Linked DNA regions of Caenorhabditis elegans. The protein of the gene in region 2 purifies or fractionates together with the protein of the main gene of each other region. This does not show direct contact. Each region holds a gene or a part of one and is shown on either strand. Other genes may lie near its edges. The genes, in order: zig-10 and src-2.

Region 1 (4,948 bases), on a different chromosome or scaffold from region 2:
GATTAACTTTGAATAAATAGAGTATGGATATAATGAACTTGATTTTTCCTTGAATTGAAACTTGTTAGAATATTTTTGCAGGACAATTCCAATACAAACAGGTCTATTTGGAAAGCTGAAAGTGTCACCACAATATGCTATCAACAAAAAGGAAAGAAGTGCCCAAATTTCAGCATCATATCTTGAAATACTAATATATATTTTTCTTGCAATTTCCACCTTAAACAGTTTCAAGGTGTGTTATTTTTTAGACCGATATAGAACGAATTAACTTTATAAATGTAATTTAAAGATTTTAGCAAGAGTAAACATGACAATAATTTTAAATTACTAATTCTTGTCAGGAAACAATGCTTTATATAATAGTATGACAGTCATTTATCTAAATTATTGCTAAACGGAAGTAAGTATTTTGAAAATGAGATATTAACATTAAATTTGTATATTTTTGTTCACAGCTAATAATGGTTTCTGTAATAGATCCGGAACTCCATTGTGAGATAAATTTTAGACATTTTTTAAATATCCGTCGTATTCTGTGGATAATCCGTTGTTCTACCTCTGCCGTTGCCGTGAAGTTCATCGAGGTTAAAAATTTTTTCAAAGTTCCTGTCGTTTCGCAAGTCAGTAATATTCATTTTCAACCAATTTTAACTTTAAAGTTTAAATTTATTGATATATTGATATAAAAATTGAAGAAAAAACTATTACATGTAGAATGACCCGTTGATTGAAATACATTGAAAATGATACAAAACTAAACAATTGAATCCCTGAAAAGTTTGAACGTGGCAACACTGGATGTACAGAAAGATCGGACTACAAGTTTCTAAATTCGAAAGTATAATAAAATCGAAAATCTATGTAATCAATGGATTTTGAACTGGAGGAGTTAACATTCGGGCGTTTACAAAACAATCTGGAAGAGGAACAACAGCTTTTCGGAATCCAGGAGCTAACCGAGGATCTGTTCTCGACCAAAAAGTTGGACGAAGTACTCGACGAGGTCGTCCTGGTTTTAGTAGACACACAGCACAAATGAGATAAATTAGAACTGCACCAGATGTGATAAGGCATCCAAGAAGGAACATAAAGAGAGAGCTACGAAGAGCTGCAGAGCATCCATTCACAAATGTTGGTTTTAAAGATTCTGAAAACAATAGTTGCACGACATTTAAGAGGGGAGTTTACCTAGATTCGCTACCAATTCTCTAGAATCAATGAATGTATTCGTAGAAGCGTGACCAGCAAAATTGTTTATATTGCATTCAAAATAACCAAAGTGATGATATGAGAAGTGTGATATGATGAGTGTTCCATTGGGAAATGCCACATAATCAGACGATATGTGTGATATTGGAAGCGAGTTCTGAAAAATATTCTTTAAGGATAGTTAATTAACTATAACTTTCCTTTTCATTTTAGAAACTAAATTCAATGTGTTTCGGATGAAAACAAATTATGATTACTTTTTTAGGTTTTTGGAAATATTGTATTTTTGAACATCTGAAGGATATAAAATAATTTGGAAATACTTTTTTCATCGATTTCCAAATTTAAGATAATGGAAATTTGTTTCAGTCCGGCTTGCCAACTCTAGGACTAAACCATTACTACTTACCACTGTCCACGTAACTTTCGGAGGCGGATATGCTTTTGGAATCGGACAATGTAGTACCAAAGACCTTCCAAGTGTTGGCACATTTGGCTCCAACTTTATTTTTTCATTTTGTGATATTTCATCAACATATGCAATTTTCAACTGGAACACTTCTCCCCATTTCGAATCATTTTCTCGTTGACAGTAATAATTTCCTTCATCTTCTTTTTGAACATCGAAAATCACTAGAAATCCAATTTCAGGTATCCTTTCTTCTCCTCCACGTGGCTTCCTCTCATTCAGTATTGCATTCTTATGTCCCTCAACTGTTGCAATGACATGTTTATCACGATACCAAGTGACATTTGAAGATGTATATGGTTCACACTCCAGTGCAGTTGTCGATCCAATGGGTACTAACCGCTCGGTTGGCGCCTTTTTTGGGGCCAAAGTGTGAATTGTTTCTGAAAGAAAGGAGAAAGTTACGAAATGGACACTTAAATGAGAATGCGTGGCGCCTCACAGGTCACAAATACAAGCATTTTATGTTTTATGGACGGTGCCGACTGGCGACATGTGGGAGAAAGAAGGATGAGGTTGTCGCCTTTTTATGGGATCTAGTATCATATCCTTCATAAGCTTCTCCGGTATCAAAAAGTGAACTGTGTGTAGTTTTTCTCAATTTTTCGAAATAATATTCTAGTAAAACTAAAAATGTTTAAGATTAATCAATATTTTCAGTCAAACATTTAGCAGTCTCATATCTGGATGTTGGAGAAATTTAGAGTTTAGTTACATGTTTGAAATTCTACTATTTTTAATGCAAAACTTTGAAATATTGTAATTTGAACCTCATACTCAACAATTTATGTATGTCAAAAACCGAATAATTTTCATGTTTTACAGTTAAAACAACATTTAAAAATCCATACTATCATTTTCTTACCAAAAAACCATACCATTTAATTGATTTAAAATGATTTCTTCCCAATCTAGTCTCTCGTACAATCAGAAAATTTTTTAATTTTTTAAAATATTTTCTAAAGAAAACATCTTTTCCATATAAAACTATTTCCGCTAAAACTTTCAAAAAAGCCTCATTCGTTGGGCAATTAGAGATGTATCTCACTCCAGTCTGTCAAAGCAATATGTTTTTGAGCGTCCATTAGCGCATGCGCGAGAATCCGAAAATTATAGGGTGTCAAAGCGATTTAACTCCGTCTCTTGCATCTCGTCAATTAAGCCTTTTGGAGGCAAAAATATGGAAAGCCGGTTGACGGTAAAAATAAAACCAACCAGATAATGCAATCATGAGGATCAAGAGCAATACCAGATAGTGTGGAAAATGGCCCATTTCCTGTAAATTTACAAATTATAAAAATAATAAGTAGAGCAGGATATTTATAATTAAAAAGAAGACAATACGTTGGAAATAAGGGAGAAAAGTTGAATACGGTACGTGTCAAGAGATCGCCGTTCGAAATCTGAGAAATCTGAGAACGACGGGTCCCATATTCGGTCATCTGTCATCGGCGAACAAAGAAAGATGCTAATCAGATGGGCATGGAGGTACTCTTGTAACATTTGGAATTTGACACTATTATCCAAAAAATATATAAAATGAAAACCATAAAAAGCGATGTGTATTTGTTTTGATATTACTTCTTTTTACAATGTTTACAGTAAGTGGAAGACAAAATTTTAAAAACACCCTCCAACTGGAGGAAGGAATTCGTTTATGAGGGTGTTTTCCATTAGGACATTGGAGCATTCATTAGAATATTTTAAAGATATTTTCCAAGAAGATTAGTGTGTGGGAACGGACAACAACCCATTTAACACAAAAAATAATACATTTTCGGCAAAAATGGCCCAGCGAAATAGTCTCTATCTGTCCACATAAGCATAATAATGCATGAATGCCATATATATGCCTACCAACAAAAAAAGCTAGGAGCCGTTCCTACCTACCATAATGGAAAAAACTTGGATTTTGACCGTTTGATTTTTAATTTTATTGTAACTTTTTCAAGAAAATTTCAACGTAGGTAGACTCAAAATGACAACTTTTTTGATATTTCTTTTTAAACTCCTAAAGCCATGATATTTGAGAGGTCCAGATTCTTCTAGAAAGGTAAGTATAATCCTTATTCTTTTTCATAATTTTTATGTTTACCTAACGGAAAAGTTCGGAAGGATATCTAATAGAATTGAATAGTTGAGAAAACAAACAATTGTTGCGAGCTTTTTTCTTTTTTTTTCACCTTTTCAAGTTTTCAAACATGAATTCTGGTATAATAAAATGCCTATAATATCAGTAGATTTGGGAGAAAAAAGAAGATAAAAATGAGTGAGGAAGCATGTATATATCTACTAAGCATACAGTAATAAACCATTACATTAGTACATCATAAAACGGAGGAGGCAAAAGTCGAATGGTAAGTATGAGAATAGTGTGTGAGAATGAGAGGTTTAGAGAAAGCATGTTCCACACTTTTCGTACTTGATGCGCCGGATATGTTAATAGGATTTTTGGAATGAAGCTTCCAAAAAAGATGGATGAAAAACGAATAGAAAGCGTGATAGATGTATCGAGAAAGGTTTTTCGAAAAATTTGCTTGAAATTGAAAATAGAACAGATTCTGAAAAAATAGTAAATTCATGGAAAACAGCTGAACAATTAAAAAATGAGAGAAAACTAAAAATAAACAAACAAGATTTCCAAACCAAATATATCCAAAAAAATAGTAGAGTAGTCATGAAAATGTTTGTTGTGTTATAATGTCATAATCTGATTTTTGTTGGAATGCAATATTTTTTGCGCAAAAATAGGTGTTTGTAGCAATAGGTAAAACTTTTTTGGCATTGAAACATTATTATTTTCTTGAACAAAGCAGAAACATATAAAATTTTAAAGAAAAAGTAGCAGCAAGTGCGATTTAAAACCTCTTAAATCAAAATTATGGGAATTTTGCTTCACCTTTTTAGGTTCGAGTTTGAGTTTTTCGTAATGAAGAGTAATTTTCAAAACGATTTTAATTGAAGACTGTACATAAATCAATTATTGTAAATCTATATCCAAAAGAACTAAAATCGAGTCAAGTTCAAATCGAGTCGTGAAACAAAAAACAAAAACAAAGGAAAAGGAAATCTGGAGCTGTCACGGAAAGCCAAAAAAAAGTGAGCATCGCTGAGTGGCGTGCAAGAAAATGAAATGTTCTTTTTTCTTTTTCTTCTCCGGAGTGAGTCTCTCCGCCAAACAACTCGGGCATCCTACTGGAAGCTAATTAGACAAATGTGTGTGTGTCCAAGGAAAATGAAGAGTCGAATACCAATGTTGTTATAAAA
Region 2 (8,143 bases):
ATTTTCCAGAAATTCGCTCTTTTTTCTCAAAAAATTTGAAAAATTTTAATAAAAAGTTTACCGATCCAATGAAAGCTTAAATCCCTAGCCTGTTAATCAAATCTAATTTGATAATGACAGCTTCATCATCCTCTCTCTCTCCCTGTCCTCTCCGCGCGCAAAAAAAGATGTTTTCCCACCAGCGCGCGGGCGCCTCCGCTGCTGTCGAAATTGCCATTTTTGTAGGTCTGCGTCTCTTGGGATCAGTATGCTACCTGCAATTGGGAGTTTAAGGCACGCGCGTTCCGCAAATGTTTGCTAAACGGCGCGGCGGAGAGAGGGAGAGAGAGAGAGAGATGCCTGACCTCGGTGGACAAATAGTGAGAGGGATGAAGAGAGAATGAGACAAAAACAGTTCCCTCTTCTTTTTCACCCCAAAGACGGTGGGCTAGCCAGCAACCGGCTAAATGAATTTCTTTCCGGCTTTTGGGTTTTTTACCTAATATTTTGTATTTTCATAGTTCTTATTATACAATTTTCGCCAAAGATAGAAAATGTAGTTTTCCTTTTAGGTCCCCCAATTTTAGATTATACTACTACTTTGGAACATAGTTTTTAGGCCTTTTTTAAAAGATTTTTTAGCTTTGGCTGAAAAACTCCTGGAACTGGGAATTTTGGCCCAGAAAATTGTGACGTCAACACGTTCTTAACCGTGCGACAACAGTTGGCGCATTTTTTGTAGATCACACCGTTATGGGACACTCTGACACCTTGTCGGAATATTGTTAGCCTAAAAAACTTTGATCCCTAAATTTTGTTGCTCACTTTATTCGAGAGAAATTTCAGTTTAAATTCTAGGCACTGAAATTATAATAGTTCTCGATTAATACTATGAGTTCCTTTCCTGCTTTATTGTAACCTTTTAGCTTGAAATTTTACTTTAAAAACTGAATTTTCTACTCTAGAAGATTGATATATTGAAAAAGTTGTAACTCATATATTATAATTTAGTGCCAATTTTACGGTCAAATTTTTTGATTTTTATTAGCTGACAACTTTTCATATTTTTCAGGATAAAATAGATATAGTAGTAGTCCAGAAAGTTATTTTTATGGCTCCTAGAAATCCATACAACTCTTTATTGGGGCTAGATGTCAAAAAGTTGTCAACTAAAAAAATGTAGCAAATTTTATGCGTAATGTATTGTTAGTTGACAACTTTTTTATATTTATTAATCTGAAGGTGTTATAGTCGATTTAATACAGCTAGTTAGTCCTAGCTTGCCCCTGAAACCCCATAACGAAGAAATATAAGAAAATTTCGCATTAAGTATTTTATTGGTTCACAAGTTTTGTGTTATTTCTTTTTTGAAACTAGTCCAAAATTATTTTTACTTGACTGATCATCTTAAAAATTTTTGCAAGTTTTCTTGGGCCCTTTTTTTTAATCGCTTACAAAGAAATGCTCCAGGCTCCTTTAAATTGTGCAGCAGACATTTATCGCTGCATTTTTCCAAATTCCCACCTAAAGTTTCGCTAAAAATGAATTTTCTGGATTTATAAACCCTGTAGCTCCCCAGCGTGTCAAGTAGTCAGAAAGTTTTTAACTGATAAAACGAAGTAAGCTTTGAAATCTACAATTTTTTAGTTGACCACTTTTTGATATATATATATCAAAAAATAGATTGACATACCAAAAAATAGATTGGCATATCAAAAAATAAATTGGCATATCAAAAAACAAATTGGCATATCAAAAAACAAATTGGCATATATATATATATATATATTTAAACGATTCATGGCAGTTTAACGCCCACACCTATTTTGCCCTGGCTCCTGGAAACCCCTATAACTATAACTTTAATTGGTGCTAGTGTCTATCAAAATGTTGTCAACTCACAAGTTGTAGTAAATTTAATTTTTTTGATCTACAATTTGCTAATTGACAATTTTAAAACGCTATATTTTGTCCAGCGAACCCTAATGAACCAGAACTATCTAAATTTCTTCCAGAACCTCCCAAATCAAAAAACTGACGACACCAGGATCGTCCGTTCCTCCCCATGGGATCCTGTATTGGAAAAGAGGATCCACCGCCTGGTGCAACGTCACCAGTCCACACGTCATCCACGTTGGGAAGGGAGTCACTGCCAAGTCATCCACGAATTCCGTCCATCGGTCCGATTGCGGCGTCTTCCAGTGGAAATACGATTGATAAAAATCAGAATATCTCGCAATCTGCGAATTTTGTCGCTTTATTCCAATATGATGCACGGACAGATGATGATTTGAGTTTTAAGAAGGATGATGTTAGTTTTTTATTTTATTTTTTGAAACTCCATATCTCATTCTTTCAGATCCTTGAAATTCTAAATGATACCCAAGGAGACTGGTGGTTCGCCAGGCACAAGGCAACTGGACGGACTGGGTATATCCCGTCGAATTATGTTGCCAGGGAGAAAAGTATCGAGTCACAGCCGTAAGTTTTTTTTTTTTTGAATTTTTAGCCAGCCTAGGGAGAGAGGCCGGACTTGAACTTGTGACCTCCAGATTGCTGGTGGTTACCACTACCTACTGAGCTATCCAGCGCCTCTTTGTTAGTTGTCACAGGGGCTTGATCAGGTGTAACTAAAACTGTCATAACTCCTTTGGCTTGTGAGATACAAAAAAATTGTCAACTAGCACATTGTAGAGCAGAAAATTTCCTACATTTTGTTAGTTTAAACTTTTTTGATAGCTAGCACCAGTGAAGAGTTATAGCACTTTAGAGGTGTCAGCGGGGAATCAGAGCAGGCGTAGAAATGGTTCAACTCTTTAAGTGTATTTTTACCGGCAAAAGTTGTCAACTGACAAAATGTTAATTGTAAAATTTACTACATTTTCGTATTTTGAACCTTTTCAGTAACTTAATGTTTGTAGAGTTACATAGCTTTAACGAAATTTTGAAAAAAATAACATTTTTACGAAACTTAGAAAAATTCCAACTCACATTAAAACCTTAAAACTCGAATAATTTTGTAGTTCACTGGTAGTAGTACCTAAAATCAAGTACTTAATATTCCCTATATTTTGTTAGTTGGCGACTTTTTAATATTATAGCTAACACCATTAAAAAGTTATAGGGATTTCTAGAAGAAATCCGTGTAGGCCTTAAAACTATGATAACTTTTTAAAATTGATTGATATCAAAAAGTTGGCAACTAGCAAACTGTAGAACATAAAATTTGCTACAATTTAATAGTTGACAACTTTTTAATAGCTTGCTTTATTGCAGAGTTACAGGGATTCAAAAAATAAGATTTTAAAAATCCGAAAATCTAAATTTTTACAAATTTCCAGGTGGTACTTTGGAAAAATGCGGCGAATCGATGCGGAAAAATGTCTATTGCACACTTTAAATGAGCACGGAGCATTTTTAGTGAGAGATTCCGAAAGTCGACAGCATGATTTATCATTATCAGGTCAGTGAACTTTTAAGGGCGCCCCATAGGGCACATGGCGGGCGAAAACCGGTTTTCTGGGAGAGATAATCAAGGTCGGATACAACAAAATGAGAAAGGCGCGGTGACAGTAAGAGGCAGAAAAGAGGTTATCCCCGCTCGCCCCGACCTTTTATGATTCCGAAAGTAATGGGAATTTGGGAGAAAGGAGGCAAATTGGGAGATTTTGATGGGTTTAGATGGGTAATTTGGGATGGGGGAATTTAGATGGAAACTGTCAAAAATAGATGGAATATACATAGATGTTTATTTAATTTTTAAAACTTTTTTTAAAAAATTCGAAAAATCATTTTCGATTTTTTTAAAAAAATTTTATTGAATTTTTTGCCAATAATTTTCTAATTTTTTAATAAATGTTTTTTGAAAAACTGATAGATTTCATTTTTTCTGAAAGTATTACAAAAAGTTTTTATCTTTATTTTCAATTTTACAATTCTGAAAAATTATAAAAAAATATGTATTTCGTGCTTTGTAGTTTGTAGTTTGTAGTTTGTAGTGTGTAGTTTGTAGTTTGTAGTTTGTAGTTTGTAGAAAACCTTTCAAAGCTCTTTTGAGAGTTACCAAAAAACGTTTTTTTGGGAATTTTGAATTTTTCAAATTTATAATATTTCAGTATTTTTTTTTCCTTTGTAACATTCCAAAAACTGTCAAAAAAAAAACAAACTCATCAAATTCCAAGTTTTCTTAAATTTGAAGATTGTAGTTTGTAGTCCAAAATCCCCCTATTAATCCCAATTTTCTTGCAGTCCGAGAGAACGACAGCGTAAAGCACTACCGTATCCGTCAACTGGACCACGGCGGGTATTTTATCGCCCGGAGGCGCCCGTTTGCCACGTTACACGACCTGATTGCACATTACCAACGAGAAGCCGATGGTCTTTGTGTGAATCTGGGAGCTCCTTGTGCCAAGTCAGAAGCCCCACAGACAACGACATTCACATATGGTAAGCTGGAAGTTTTTATGCCTGACAGGTGCCTACATCTGCCTAGATGCCTACTAGATACCTCGGTGCCTACTACATGCCTAGATACCTTTTTCATGCCTAGATACCTACGACATGCCTAGATACCTACTACGTGCCTAGATACCTACTACATACCTAGGTAACTGCTTGATGTCTAGATGCCTACTACATGTTTAGATACCAACTATATACCTAGGTAACTTATTGATGTCTAGATGCCTACCAAATGCCTTGATGCCTACTACGTGCCTATTAACCTACTACATTCCCAGATACCTACTGCATGTCTAGATACCTACTACGTGTCTAGATGCCTACCTGATACCTAGGTGCTTACTTAATGCCTAGATTCTTACCAAATGCCTAGATACCTACTACGTGCCTAGATACCTACTACTTGCCTAGATACCTACTACATACCTTGATACCTACTACATGCTTAGATACCTACTACAAACCTAGGTAAATCCAGTAGGCAAAAGGCGAACCTAATTCAGGCCAAAGTTGACTTAAAGGTAGGCAGGCATTATTGTGCCTACCTACTAGGCCAAACAATTCCAGGGACCCACAAGGCGCCCAGTTACCTTTAAAAATGTTCAAAATTCCCATTCCAGATGACCAATGGGAAGTGGACCGCCGTTCGGTTCGTCTCATTCGACAAATTGGAGCCGGGCAGTTTGGAGAGGTAAGCATCATCATTCTCTTTCGGTTGTTTGCTTATTCACGTTGCCTGCCTGCCCGCCAGCCCCACAGCCCGCCAAATAGTGTGCACAGGCTCATCCTCCTCCTCCTCCTCCTGTTGCCTATTCCGTTCGTGTTTGATGTATATTTGTGTGTGTGTGTGTGTGTGTGTGTGTGTGTGTATAGAGAATTGATGGAGAACGAGATAAACAGGAGAAGATATGCTAATTGAGTGGGGGTAAGGAGATGATCTTAGGGGAAAATTGCAGGGGGGGGGGGGGGGGGGTGGGTCCCCGATGCACCATGTGTAGCCCCAAATTACAATTGTTAGGGTAGAGCCTGAAAAATTTTAGGTTTTTTTGTAAAAAAAACCCCAAAAAATCGCATGAGCAAGAATTTTTCTTGATATTTCTAGGCGCACGGGGTTCTGGCCTTCCTTATTGATTTTTTCGCGCTCCATTGACCTGGACAACGCGTGGGAAAATCGTGCACTCCACACGGACAACTACAACAAGTTTTAAAACTAAAATCGAGCCGCGACGCGACACGCAACGCGCCGTAATTCTACCCCAGATATGGCCGATCCAAAATGGCCTTGTTCGGCAAACTCTTCCATCTCAATTTATGAGGGGAGCCAGAAATCCGTGTAGGCGCTACTTTACACTCAAAATAAAAAAAAACTGCGTGGCGTGTACTGCAGAAAACCTAATATTTAGGCCCCGCCTTTCTCTCGTCCACTTACGGAGAAACGGCAAAAATTTTGACCCCAACCAATATCAGGCCGCCAACATCTCACGGGTTCCGCGCGTCGCTGCGTTTAACTCGCAGCGGGCGGAGACAGCTCGTCACGCCCACAGCAAGTTAAACGCAGCGGCGCGCGAAACCCGTGAGATGTCGGCGGCCTGATATTGGTTAGGGTCAATATTTTTGCCTTTTCTCCGTGAGCGGACGAGAAAAAGGCGGGGCCTAAATATTAGTTTTTTATTTTGAGTGTAACTCCCAGAAACCTCTCAGCCTATGGACTAAAAAACTTCAGGCTTTTATTTTTCCGTGTTTTTCTTAATCCAGGGGCTTTTAGTGTAGATCCTAAAACAACCGGATAAAACGGTTTCCCCTTTTTCTATTGACTTTTCCATCTCCTGATCCGAGCAGCTACAGCCGCCAATATTGAAACAGATAGGACCGGTTTGAAACATGATATCACTCCCCTACAAACATCAGTTCCGCTAGGAGATCTCATAAAACGAAGGGATCTGGAACATAGAGATTTACCACTAGGGTTATAAGGAAATGTCGATGCACCATGAGTAAAAACTCAACCTCGAATATAGATAGCAAGGCCCTAAAATGAATGACAAATGTTCTCATTAGAGCGCACTTAAATTTGCAAGCATGAACGAAAATATGAGTTTTGTAAGAAATTTAATCTATGAAGCTTCAAAACCATGCGAAAAATGGCTAAACATACGAAAATTCTTACTACAGCTTACTAAAGTGTGTGTTTGAACTTTGAACTTTTTACCTAACCCCGCCCCCCCCCCCCTTATGCTTGCATGTTTAAGTGCGCTCTAGTGAGAACATTTGTCATTTTTTAATTAGAGCGCACTTGCAAATCAGCTTGCAGATCCTGGATGTACTACATAAACCATCAATTTCCAGGTATGGGAAGGCCGATGGAATGTGAACGTCCCCGTCGCTGTGAAAAAGCTAAAGGCCGGAACCGCAGATCCTACGGATTTCCTAGCCGAGGCACAGATTATGAAGAAGCTCCGGCATCCGAAGCTTCTGTCCCTGTATGCAGTCTGCACACGTGATGAGCCGATTCTTATAGTCACCGAGCTAATGCAGGAGAATCTGCTCACATTCTTACAGCGACGAGGTCGGCAGTGTCAGATGCCTCAGCTGGTGGAGATCTCGGCGCAGGTGAGGTTCACGTTCGGATTCCTCGAAATTAAAAAAAAATTTCAAAAAAAGTTTTGCAGGTTGCCGCTGGAATGGCCTACCTAGAGGAGATGAATTTCATCCATCGAGACCTAGCAGCACGAAACATCCTTATCAACAACTCCCTATCTGTAAAAATCGCAGATTTCGGGTTAGCCAGGATATTGATGAAGGAGAACGAGTACGAAGCAAGAACCGGAGCACGGTTTCCGATAAAATGGACGGCGCCCGAGGCGGCGAACTATAATCGATTCACAACCAAGTCGGATGTCTGGAGTTTTGGAATCCTGCTCACCGAGATTGTCACGTTCGGACGGTTACCCTATCCAGGTGAGGATTTGAACCGACCCGTTTGATCTACACGAATTGCGGAAATTTAGGCGCAGACTTTTCAACTGATTTCGCATGGTTAAGAGTGTGCTGACGTCACCATTTTCTGGGAGAAAAATTCCCGCATTTTTTGTAGATCAAGCCGCAATGAGACAGCCTGACACAACGTAAGATGGTCTCATTGCCGCATGACCTCCAGAAGTGGCGGGAATTTGAATTAAAAATTTTGACGTCATATGAGCTTTTTTGAAAACTAACATCCCGCCTTTTATTGAGGTCAAATTATTTTTTTTACAAAATGGTACCAGTTCGCTAATTATAAAAATTAAGTCCCTTATTGAAGGGGCCTTGAAAATTTCGCAAAACTTTGGGAATAGGTCGCGTCAACTAAAATGTGGAATATTCCTGCGCCCTTCGCCGTTTGATCTCCGGGAATCGCGGAAAATTCAAATTTTGAAAAATGCGATGTAGCCTAAGTTTTACTGTAGAACGTGGTGTCAGAGTGTCCCATTTCGGTTTGATCTACGTAGATCTACAAAAAATGCGCGGAGTTGAGACGCAGAGTTCTAAAGTGATTTTTAGAACGAAAAACTCCCGCATTTTTTGTTGATCAAACCGTGTAGTACCCCAGAAACACGCCACACATTTCAAAAAAGAAATTTCCCGCCATTTCCGGAGGTCACACGAGCACATGGTGTCAGGCTGTCCCATTGCGGTTTGATCTACAAAAAAATGCGGTAATTTT

What was found.
Region 1: the proteins of src-2 (region 2) and zig-10 purify together in Caenorhabditis elegans (affinity purification with western blotting, with the first as the bait; one study listed by BioGRID). This does not show direct contact.

What each region holds. Positions count from the first base shown.
Region 1 is NC_003280.10:6,396,715-6,401,662, reverse strand, and holds zig-10 (Ig-like domain-containing protein), read right to left. Parts: upstream 2,958-4,948; 5' UTR 2,955-2,957; coding exon 2,897-2,954; intron 2,234-2,896; exon of another isoform or gene 2,103-2,233; intron 2,065-2,102; coding exon 1,622-2,064; intron 1,370-1,621; coding exon 1,192-1,369; intron 1,151-1,191; coding exon 861-1,150; 3' UTR 660-860; downstream 1-659.
Region 2 is NC_003279.8:14,320,243-14,328,385, forward strand, and holds the start of src-2 (Tyrosine protein-kinase src-2), read left to right. Parts: upstream 1-1,994; 5' UTR 1,995-2,044; coding exon 2,045-2,290; intron 2,291-2,338; coding exon 2,339-2,460; intron 2,461-3,320; coding exon 3,321-3,442; intron 3,443-4,227; coding exon 4,228-4,425; intron 4,426-5,060; coding exon 5,061-5,131; intron 5,132-6,786; coding exon 6,787-7,050; intron 7,051-7,109; coding exon 7,110-7,398; intron 7,399-8,143. UniProt on the Caenorhabditis elegans protein: Non-receptor tyrosine-protein kinase which may play a role in larval and pharynx development. Unlike src-1, does not play a role in embryonic development.